Linked DNA regions of Callithrix jacchus. The protein of the gene in region 2 interacts with the protein of the main gene of each other region in a pairwise test. Links are inferred from orthologs where the notes say so. Each region holds a gene or a part of one and is shown on either strand. Other genes may lie near its edges.

What was found.
Region 1: the proteins of QRICH1 (region 2) and HSPB8 interact in binary tests that used the Homo sapiens proteins (3 or more experiments, as listed by UniProt). The two-hybrid records come from large-scale screens. The link is inferred for Callithrix jacchus from reciprocal best matches to the Homo sapiens genes QRICH1 and HSPB8.
Region 3: the proteins of QRICH1 (region 2) and POGZ interact in binary tests that used the Homo sapiens proteins (3 or more experiments, as listed by UniProt). The two-hybrid records come from large-scale screens. The link is inferred for Callithrix jacchus from reciprocal best matches to the Homo sapiens genes QRICH1 and POGZ.

What each region holds. Positions count from the first base shown.
Region 1 is NC_133510.1:122,299,909-122,303,425, forward strand, and holds part of HSPB8 (heat shock protein beta-8), read left to right. Parts: intron 1-3,322; coding exon 3,323-3,482; 3' UTR 3,483-3,517. UniProt on the Homo sapiens protein: Involved in the chaperone-assisted selective autophagy (CASA), a crucial process for protein quality control, particularly in mechanical strained cells and tissues such as muscle. Displays temperature-dependent chaperone activity.
Region 2 is NC_133516.1:31,711,818-31,715,865, reverse strand, and holds the start of QRICH1 (transcriptional regulator QRICH1), read left to right. Parts: upstream 1-1,232; 5' UTR 1,233-1,386; intron 1,387-2,155; exon of another isoform or gene 2,156-2,716; intron 2,717-2,824; 5' UTR 2,825-2,884; intron 2,885-3,007; exon of another isoform or gene 3,008-3,105; intron 3,106-4,048. UniProt on the Homo sapiens protein: Transcriptional regulator that acts as a mediator of the integrated stress response (ISR) through transcriptional control of protein homeostasis under conditions of ER stress.
Region 3 is NC_133519.1:11,337,134-11,340,650, reverse strand, and holds part of POGZ (pogo transposable element with ZNF domain), read left to right. Parts: intron 1-3,209; coding exon 3,210-3,385; intron 3,386-3,517. UniProt on the Homo sapiens protein: Plays a role in mitotic cell cycle progression and is involved in kinetochore assembly and mitotic sister chromatid cohesion.

The DNA.
Region 1 (3,517 bases), on a different chromosome or scaffold from region 2:
TCCATACACCAACACATCAACTTGTATACCACATATATACATATATACAATTTTATATCCCAATGATATCTCAATAAAGCTGTTAAAAAAAAAAAAAAAAAGAGCAGATTGGGACCTGAACACAGGTCTCTCAACTTTCAAAGTCCATGACCTTCCTATTTGGTTAGGGGAAACCAAATTACAGTCATTTGCAATACTGTCATTCACATACTGTCTTCACTATTTTTTGCTTCATATGCTTCCATTGCTGTATCATGATTTACCGAAGGTTTTTTTTTTCTTTTAAATCAACTCATTTTTGATAAAGTTAAATTCTCATCACTAAAATGTTCACTGAGGAAGGCAATCATGAAATAAATCCAGTGAAAGCAAAATGTGGTTGAATTCTAACCAGATAATGTTGCCTGCCTAAGGGCCTCAGCTCTTTCATTATTAAAAGGGGAAGGTAGCAAGTGATAGAGGCTGAAGGCGTTAAAGGCATATTAGTACTTGGCTAAGACATTCCTTCAGATGTAAGGAGGAGCACTGAAAGAGAATTGAGGAGGAATTGCTTTTCCACCAGGTGGGTTTAACATACAAGTCACCTGGTGAGAGACCTTGGACATGTCTGTTTCTCTGAGCCTCAGTTTCCCCATATGTAATATGAGAGCATTGTCGTGGGCAATCAGGGAGATCCGTTGGGGCCCTGATACTCTGGTTCAATGACACTGCAATTTGTATGAAACTGCATCTTGCTATCAAGATGCCAACATGTAAGGCCAAAGATTGCACCATAATTCCCACACCACTCAGACGTAGATACTATTATTGCCCCCCTTTTTCTGCGAAGAAATAGTTTCAGAGAGGCAAGATCACCAGCCCCATGTTGTGTAGTCAGGAAGGGTCAGAATTTGAATGCAGGTTGGCCTGCCTGCAAAACACATGCTCTGGGCCAGGTACAGTGTGACAGTGTAGAGCATGTTTTGTGACCTGGTGTGCATTGGGTTGGCGTGCACATGGTTAAACAGTCAGCCCATTCCCGGCATTGGGAGGGAGATCTAAACTTTTGACCTTGTCTCTGCTTCAAAATCTTGACTTGGCAGCTTCCTAGTTCCCTCTTTCTCTTCCAAATGTGCTTCCCAGAAGCACCGTTGTTCATCTCCAAGGTTCCAACTTGGCAAGGAATCTCCTGAGTAGATACAGCTCATGTGGCTACAGGTTGCTGTACACAGAAAAAAAAAAAAAAAAAAGGAAAGGAAGGAAGGTAGGGAGAGAGGGAAGGAAGGAGAAAGAGAGACAGATAGAGAGAGAGAGAAAGAAAGAAAGAAACAGAAAGAAAGGGAGGGAGGGAGGGAAGGAAGGAGAAAGAGGAAGAAAATAAAGAGAGAAAGAAAAAAAGAAAAGAAAGACAAAAAAGGAAGGAAGGAAAGAAGGAAGGAGGGAGGGAGGGAGGGAGGGAGGGAGGGAGGGAGGGAGGGAGGGAGGGAGGGAGGGAGGGAAGGAAGGAAGGAAGGAAGGAAGGAAGGAAGGAAGGAAGGAAGGAAGGAAGGAAGGAAGGAAGGAGGGAAGGAAGGAAAACTCCCCAGCTCCTACAGAAAGTACTCCTGCCCATGATCAGGTATGGGCTTACCTCATGCCTTGGTTCTTTCATCAAGACCGTTGTATTTACAATATGCAGAATCAGCATGGACCAGTGAAAAGCTTTGATTGAACTTCCGAGCCTTCCTGCCATAGTCCTTTTTTCAAATGGCTGGTAACTGGGAGAGGCAGGAGAACATCACGGTCAGATACTCTGAGTTTGGAGACCAGGATTCCAATTCCATTTCCTATTTGCCATTTGCCAGCTGAGTGACCTTGGGCAAATTAGTTCACCTCTCTGAGCCTCAATTTCTTTGTCTGTGAAATGGGGATAGCAATGGAATCTTCCTGGTGGGATTATTCTTAACACCAAAATGATATGATTCAGCCAAAATAGCTGGCACATGGAAAAGCAGGTCATGGATTTCATGATTTAAAAAAAAAAAAAGGAACCTCATGAGACCACTAATATGTCCTCACAGTTTTAACAGTTTGTTGAAGAAACCAAATTATTGATAGTCTCATTCACTCCAAGAAATCCAAGAAACATAAAAATACCTTATTAGAACTTGGACCAGATTTGGATTTGGAAATCCCATCTTTGATGCTTTCTCACCGTGGAGCTTGTCATTTGATTTCCCCCCAGACTGTTTAGTGATCTGCAGCATGGGCATATTAATTATTACCTCTTAATCACCCTCTTATAATACTCCAACTAGGTGTCATCTATAATTTAGTTTTAAAAACAAGATAATTATGATCTGCTAAGAGATTGTATTAGTTCATTTTCACACTGCTGATAAAGACATACCTGAGACTGGGTAATTTATAAAGAAAAAGAAGTTTAATGGACTCACAGTTTCATGTGGCTGAGAGGCCTCACAATCATGGCAGAAGGTGAAAGGCATGTCTTACATGGCAGCAGACAAGAGAGAAAATGAGAATCAAGCAAAAGGGGTTTCCCCTTATAAAACCATCAGATCTCGTGAGACTTATTCACTACCATGAGAACAGTATGGGGGAAACGCCCCCACCCCATAATTCAATTCATTGGATCCCTCCCACAACACAGGAGAATGATGGGAGCTACAATTTAAGATGATATCTGGGTGGGGACACAGCTGAACCATATCAGAGATACTTAGGGCATGACCAAAATCAAGGCTTGTTTTTAATACCATAGAGTATGTTGCCATCTAAAATCTACAAGCAGCCAGCCTGGCCACTTTTGTCTGCCAAGGTGCCTAGTGCCTGCGTCACCACTGATGTATTCTGTGGGGAAGCACTTTCTAGCAAGCACATGTCAAATGAAAATGCATTGCCTGCTATGCATAACACCTTACTTGCAGTCTATAAAGGGGTCGTAGTGATGCCATTTCTGCTAGTAATTGTGGTTGGTAGTTGGTATTAACGTGAAGACTTCAACCTGGGACCAAACATGTGGGCCACAGCTTTCTTTTAAGTTAAGATCTACTGTTTAAACAGCATTTTACCATTTGCAAAGCATACTCAGTGACTCTGAAGTTCAAATACTCTACAAGTTCAATATTATTATCCTAATTTTGCAGACAAGGAAACAAGCTCAGAGCAATTGAGTGATCTTCCCAAGACCACACAGCTAGAAAGGGGTAGAGCCAGGATTCAAACCCAGCATTTTATGTCCCCAAAGGCTAAGCTTTTATCAAAAATATTTCCCTTCAAGTGAATAAAATAATGTTTAAGCTGTATTAACAGTAATAAATGAACAAAATCATGTTTCTCCTAGGCTTCCTGCAGAGGTGGATCCTGTGACAGTATTTGCCTCACTTTCCCCAGAGGGTCTACTGATCATCGAAGCTCCCCAGGTCCCTCCTTACTCAACATTTGGAGAGAGCAGTTTCAACAACGAGCTTCCCCAGGACAGCCAGGAAGTCACCTGTACCTGAGATGCCAGTACTGGCCCATCCTTGTTTTGTCCCCA
Region 2 (4,048 bases):
AGCCTCCCAAAGTGCTAGGATTACAGGGGTAAGCCACTGCACCTAATCAGCATTTTTTTTTTTTTTGAGACAGTTTCGCCCTTGTTGCCCAGGATGGAGTGCAATGGCGCGATCTTGCCTCACTGCAGTCTCCACCTCCCAGGTTCAAGCGATTCTCCTGCCTCAGCCTCCCAAGTAGCTGGGATCACAGGCATGCACAACCACACTCAGCTAATATTGTATTTTCAATAGAGACGGAGTTTCATTCACCACGTTGGCCAGGCTGGTCTCGAACTCCTGACCGCAGGTGTTCCACCCGCCTTTGCTCCCAAAGTGTTGGAATTACGGGCGTCAGCCATCGCGCCCGGCCCATTCAGCATATAATTTTTTAGTGCCTACTACATGCCAGGCACAGTGAGATGTGGCACACATGCTGTGATAGCCTTCCAAGTTAACTGGAGGAGAAAGGGGTGACCAAACACTGCATGGGAGAGCTCTCCCTGGGCCCTGTCCAAGGCTGGAAAAGACTACTCTCACGAAGTGACTTCTGAAGGGAATCACAAAAGACCATGGGGAGTTGGCCAGGATAAGAGGAAAAAGGGCAAAAACCCCGAGGCAAAAGGAGTCTACAGCAGGCTGGAAGCCCTCTGGGGGCTGTGTGGGCTGCTGCTGAGGCCTGCGTGTGCCTGCAGCTTTAACGCCTTCCACATTTTCCCTGTATACAAACACCAGGCTACCAGGGGGCCCGCTTTAAGGTGGCCCAGACTGCGGAAGGCTGAACTCAGACGGCAGCAGTTGGCAGGAGTCCCAGAGGGTGAGTCCTTCAGAAGGTAAGAGCTCTAGAGGCTTCCCAGGCGGGGTACGGCAGGGGACGCCGAGCCCAGGACAAAAGTTTGCGGGGTCCACCTTAAGCGAGAGGCTGAGCCCGGCCGGGCCCCGCCCCGCGTAGGGGTGCTCGACCAAAGGAGGCTCAGGCGGGCGACAGAAGGTGGGTCCAAGGAGCCAGCTTCGAGTCCTAGCCTTCGGAGGCTCCACTACCATGCTAAGCCCCCGCCCTAGCTCCGCCCCAAACGGTGGGGCGTCCAGAGGCGGGGCGAGTCGCTCCACGCCCTGGGATTCAGATCCGCTCTAGCCGCCAGAGGCGCGGCCTGTCTCCCCCTGCTGAAGCGTTCACTTTAAGTCTGGCCGGGAGGCAGCTCCAGATCTCGCGGGATCCGAAGCCCCGAGTCTCGCGAGAGGGACAATCAGCTCCCATTGGCTGTGAGGGTTGAATGTAAGATGGCGCCCAGGGAGCTGTGAGGAGAAAACCCTGTCGGTCTTGGAGCTACGACGGCAGAACCGGGGTCCCGGGCGGTGCGGCGGGGCCAGCGGGTAGAGCGGAGGCGGCGGCGGCGGTGACGTCGCCGGGTGAGGGCTCCAGTGTGGGCGAGGATGCGGCGAGGCTGTGGGCCTGGGACGGCGGGCCCACCCCACACAACGGCGGGCGGGGGCGGGCGGGCCGCTACCGCTGGGCCTTGAGAGCTCGGGGCGGCTCCGGAGCTGAAAACGTCCCTGGGCTCGCGTACCCCGCCCTGCGAATGGGGGAGGGGTGGGCCGGGGATTTGGGTGGGCGCGGCGCGACATCGCGCGCTGGTGCGGGCGCGCGTCTAAACCTGTTTTTACGCGCGGGAGCGCGCGCGCTGTGCGGCTCTCTCGGTGCGCGTGGCCGCCGACGTGCGCGTTCCCCGCCCGGATATCTCTGCTCTCTGAGCTTTGGCCCGCGGGCAAGACAGGCTTTCCAGGGCGCGCGCCCGCCACGACCCCCCGTTTGGTGCGCGCGCCCTGATGTTGGGTGGCGGTGCTGCCTCGAGAGCGCGCAGGAGGCCTCTGCTGAGCGGAGGGCTGGCCGCGGCGCGTTGCGTGGGGAAGGTTGAGGATTGGGTCTTTTCTGGTCTGGTGACGTTTTCGGGCATCCGTGGCCTAGGCCTGGAGAGAAACAAACTAGCTTTGCTATCTGGCTTGCGGCTCCGCTCTTCCGTGAAGGGGGCGAGATCGCCTGTTCTCCTCTAATAATGCTGTTACTTGAGGCCCAAGTGCGGGGTGGGTGCTTGGGTAGGGTGCTTCTCTGCTTCAGAAACCAAGCCCTGTTGGCTTGAGAGGGCAAGGAGCCCCTTCGGGTTTCCTCACCTTGTACTGGGCTTTGTGCCGGGCAGGTACCTGCATATCTTTCATTAGAAACTAATACGTCCAGAAGCGCAGTTCTTACACGTCACCTCTGCGCTCCGGAAGGGAATTCTCTTATGTGGACGTTGTGAACTCTCTAAAATGCCACTTTAAATCCTTAAACGCAGTCTTTTCTTTTCCGTAGGTGGGAGGGGCTTACTTTAGTCTGTTATCCTAAGGGCCCACCATTGCCTCAGCCAAAAAGTTACCTTGAACAAAATTGAACAACCTGAGAATCAATGCTTTACCTTTTTTGAAATTCTAGAACTCTCCAGCAGAAATTTCTAAAATCTGACTGTGTATCGCTGTAAAAGTCACTTTTTGTTTAGGATTTCAATCCTTTTCAGCTCTTTTTTTTTTCACCCCACCACTGTGTTTTGGTGTCAAGGAAGTTCTAGGTTTGTCCTAGAGAATTATGCACTTTTTTTTTTCTAATACAAAACATCTGCTAGTTTATGATTTACAGTCTTGCTCCATTAAGCTTAAGGAAAAGGAAGCTAAGAGGAAGTAAACTTAGCAATCAAATTTGATAATGGTGGGGTAGTTCTTTCTAATGTACTGTATTTTTTTTAAGAACAAAGTTAAAATTATTAATAAAAAGAGGCTGAGGATGGAAGGAACTTTTTTGTTCTATCTTCTTCAGAATATTAGAAGTCTTAAGAACTCAGGACAAGCAACAGAAATACATGCAACATGGTGACTGGTGAGTTAAAATTGTTCATATGCTGGAAGTATGTGTGCATAGTTTTTTGTTTTTTTTTTTTTTTTTTTTGGTAATGCTGAAGCATTACAAATCCTGTCAATTATTCTGGGTGCTGTCTTCCAGAAACTGTTAAGTGCTGTAGAATGAAGATGTGGGAGAACAGCATCTTTGAATTCAGCCGCAGTTTGCTACTTGGGCACTTTTCTCCTCTGAGGATGCAAGTCAGTGGAACCCACAGATTTAAGCATGGCAAGGAATCATCTTTTAAAAGGACCTAAATGGTTCAAAGAAAAGCTGTAAAGTTTACACTAAACATTTTGATACTTAATATATTTTTTGAGACAGTCTCACTTTGTAGCCAGGACTGGAGTGCAGTGGTGCGATCTTGGCTCACTGCAACCACCGCCTCCTGGGTTCAAGGGATTCTTCTGCCTCAGCCTCCTGAGTGGCTGGAATTACAGGCCCGTGTTATCACACCCGGTAATTTTTGTATTTTTGGTAGAGATGGGGTTTCACCATGTTGGTCAGGCTGATCTCAAACTCCTGACCTCCTGATCCACCCACCTTGGCCTCCCAAAGTGCTGGGACTATAGTGTGAGCCACTGCACCCGGCCAAATTTTGATACATTTTTTGGGTCTGTCTGTTTTGAATTATCTTTGTTTTTAACTATTATGCTTGAGATCTTCCTTTGAAATTAGCGTTTAAAAATAATGTTTCTCAGCCGGGTGTGGTGGTTTATGCCTGTAATCCCAGCATTTTGGGAAGCCCAGGAGGGTGGATCACTTGAGGTCAGGAGTTCAAGACCAGCCTAGCCAACATAGTGAAATCCTGTCTCTACTGAAAATGAAAAATTAGCCAGGTGTGGTGGTGGGTGTCTGTAATCCCAGCTACTTGGGAGGCTGAGGCAGGGGAATGGCTCGAACCTGGGAGATGGAGGTTGCAGTGAGCAGAGATTGTGCCACTACACTCCAGCCTGGGTGACAGAGTGAGACTCCATTTCTCTCTTTTTTTTTTTTTTCCCCGCTCTTGTTACCAGGCTGGAGTGCAATGGCGCAATCTCGGCTCACCGCAACCTCCGCCTCCTGGGTTCAGGCAATTCTGCCTCAGCCTCCTGAGTAGCTGGGATTACAGGCACACGCCACCATGCCCAGCTAATTTTTTGT
Region 3 (3,517 bases), on a different chromosome or scaffold from region 2:
CCTCCCGCCTCAGGCCCCCAAGTAGCTGGAACTACAGGCACACATCACCACACCTGGCTGTTTTTTGTTTTTTATTTTGAGTCTTTCTCACACTGCTGCCCAGGCTGGAGTGCAGTAGCAGGATCTTGGCTCACTGCAGCCTCCGCTGCCTGGATTTGAATGATTGTTGTGCCTCAGTCACCCAAATAGCTGGGGTTACAGGCATGTGCCACCATGCCCAGCTAACTTTTGTATTTTTAGTGGAGGTGAGCTTTCACCATGTTGGCCAGGCTGGTTTCAACCTCAAGTGATCCGCCTGCCTCAGCCTCCCAAAGTGCTGATATTATAGACGTGAGCCTTGTTTTGTTTTTGTGTTGGGGTCTCACTGTGTTGCCCAGGTTGGACTCAAACTCCTGGGCCCAAGTGATCCTCCTGCTTCAGCCTCTTGAATAGCTGGGACTACTGGTGCCTACCACTGCTCCAGGCTGGATAATCCTTTTAAAGGCTTTTTTTTAAAGTACCAGAATTCTAATTGCCTTTTCATCCTCTGGAAAGAGAACCTTGTAAGACACTTGAATTGTCAGAATTCCTTTGAGCTAAGGTTTAAAAGATTGCAGAAATTATTTAAAATGCTTCTAAATAAGCAGGTATAATTTACCCAGTGTGACTTTCCATAGTCTGGCTTTTGCTTTCCATTGAATCGTGAATCTAATCTGGTCTTTGAAAACCACTATTTTCTTTGTCCCATATTTTTGGAAAAATTCTAACATTCCACCAGAATTTAGACTTGACCCTGATATAAGGGAAAATATTTGGAGAAAATGCTGTTAACATTTTTTATAATGGTATTTATGGGTTTCATGGAAACCTGGTCTGTCTGTAAGAGACTTGGGAATGCTGATTGATTTCACATAAATGCAAAAAACCTCCATCTTTCCCTTCTTGTATTTAATTGGGATGTTGAGCCAGGAATTATCTTTTTTTTTTTTATCTTCCCAAACTGGATATGATAGCCGGGAATTATCTAAATGTTTTTTAGGATTAGGATAAACGAGATAATTTATTTTCTTTTGTCCTAGCAGTTAAAACAATGACTAGAAAATCCAGACTTCTGCTTAGTCAATGTTTTTCAACTATAAATTTCAAAAGGATAGAAAGAGATGGTTGGGGAACCTGTGGATTAAAAGACTTGAGTGTTGTTCATCCATTGCACTTTGCCAACATTTTGTAACTGGATTCAGACAAACGCTTTAAAAAATGCAAATAAGTAAATTTGAATTTTGACTGGGTATTTGATATTAAATGTTCGGGAGTTATGTTGGTATGATTCTTTATCTTTTTTTGAAATCCTTATGTAGGAGGTACATTTTGAAATATTTGTAGATGATATGATCTAGAACTCGTTTTAAAGTAATATGGGAACTAGTACATGTATAGGAGGTATAGATGAACTAAGACTTGCCGTGCGTTAATAATTAACGAAGCAGGGTGGTGTATAGGGAGGGGTTCACCGTAGTGTTCTGTTTCTTTGTATGTTTTAACTTCTCCATAATAAAGCATTTAAAAGATTTTAAAAACCCACCATCAATACATTGCCAGTATAATTTAACATGGATAGAACTTGCTGGAATTCTCTGTTTTATTTGTCTAGCTGCCTCTACAATCACTAGTCTTCTGGCTCAGTAACTGAGGGTCTAGTCTACTGATGAGCTCTCAGTTTCTGAGAGAGTGTGAGATGAGCCACTGCTGGCCCATTAGTAGCCACCTACATACCTATTCCTTTGGTGGTGTAGCTTTGTAGTTAACTGTGGTGATGGACCTGCCAAGTGGAATGTACATTTCAGAGGGGCCTGTCCTATTCTGGTGATTTTGGGTAAAAAGTTGAGACAATATTTTGCTTAACTCTTTGGTTTTTTGTTTTTTGAGACAGAGTCTTGCTCTGTTTCCCGGGCTGGAGTGCAGTGGCACAATCTTGGCTCACTGCAACCTCCACCTCCCTGGTTCAAGCAATTCTGCCTCAACTTCCCAAGTAGCTGGAATTACAGGTATGCACCATCATGCTCAGCTAATTTTTGTATTTTTAGCAGAGACGGGGTTTTGTCATGTTGGCCAGGCTGGTCTTGAACTCCTGGCCCCAAGTGATTCACCTGCCTCACTCTCCCAAATGCTGGGATTACAGGTGTGAGCCACTGTGCCTAGCCTGCTTGACTCTTTCGCCTAGGTATATTGGCTCTCTGAAATTCTCTATCTGGTTTTGAGTATTCTTTGTATATCAGGAAACTTAGTGTTGATTTTTGTTTTCACCAAATGTCATGAAATAGGGGACTTAAAAATATTTATGAAATTATTTTCTCACAAATGAAGAGTTGAAGATATTTCAGTAATAGCCCTGTTTATTCATATTTTTATTCATGAATGAATGATTATCTTCTGAAATCATGTCATTTTTACTTGGTGTGGGTTAGTTTTTGTCTGGGTCTTCTGTTTATCAGCCCTGATGACATGCAGAGAAAGGTGGTAGGTAGCCTGTCAGTCTCTGGGTCCCCTTCTAAAAGACAGTGGTTGCTTAAAGAATCTTGCATTTCTCAGATTTAACTTACTAGGAAGAGAAACCATTCTTCAGATTCTGTGTACTTGCTGAATTAATGTTTGTTGATGAATATTGTTTTTAAAGAATTAAGGGGGATTAGCTAACAAATTATATTCTAATAAAATAGGTTTTACCTAGTTAAAATATGGAAAAAGACTTAACATATTTTGTTCTGTGCTGATTTGGTGGGGGAGATTATGTGTGGTCACCTTAAATCATGAGAGTCAAGGTGATAGTCACATAGAATTCTAATGTGTCTTTCATCCCCAGTTAAGACATATGGGTGAAATGTTAGTGAACCTCCCCTACCCATCTGTTTTTCTGTTAGTTGTAGATTTGGGTGAAGCTTAAATTTTTGGCGAGTTTGGTCACATTAAACATGGTGAGTGTCAGTCTTGGATATTTTGGCGTCTGGGACATCATTTCTGTTTCTTACAAAATGTGGATTTGTACTTGGGAGGCTGAGGTGGAAATATGGCTCAAGCCCAGGAAGTTGAGGCTGCAGGGACCCATGACTGTGCCACTGCACTCCAGCCTGGGTGACAGAGCGATATCCTGTCTCAAATAAATAAAATAAAATGTAGGTTTAACATTCATTGTTTTTAACGTTCCTTTTTTTTCCCCCCGCTTAACCTTTTAGCTGGCAACCCTCTGGTCCAGCAAGGTGGACAGCCGCTCATCCTGACCCAGAATCCAGCCCCAGGTCTGGGCACAATGGTTACTCAACCAGTATTGAGACCTGTTCAGGTCATGCAGAATGCCAATCATGTGACTAGTTCCCCTGTGGCTTCACAACCAATATTTATCACTACGCAGGTGAGTAGGACTCTGAATTTCAAGGTTTCTAGAGGAGAGAAAGAATATGAACCTCTGAAAGCTCTGACTTAGGGTCTTTAGCACCATTAGTAGTAGTTCTAAGTCTTGTCTTTTGACCTTACTTTCTCATTT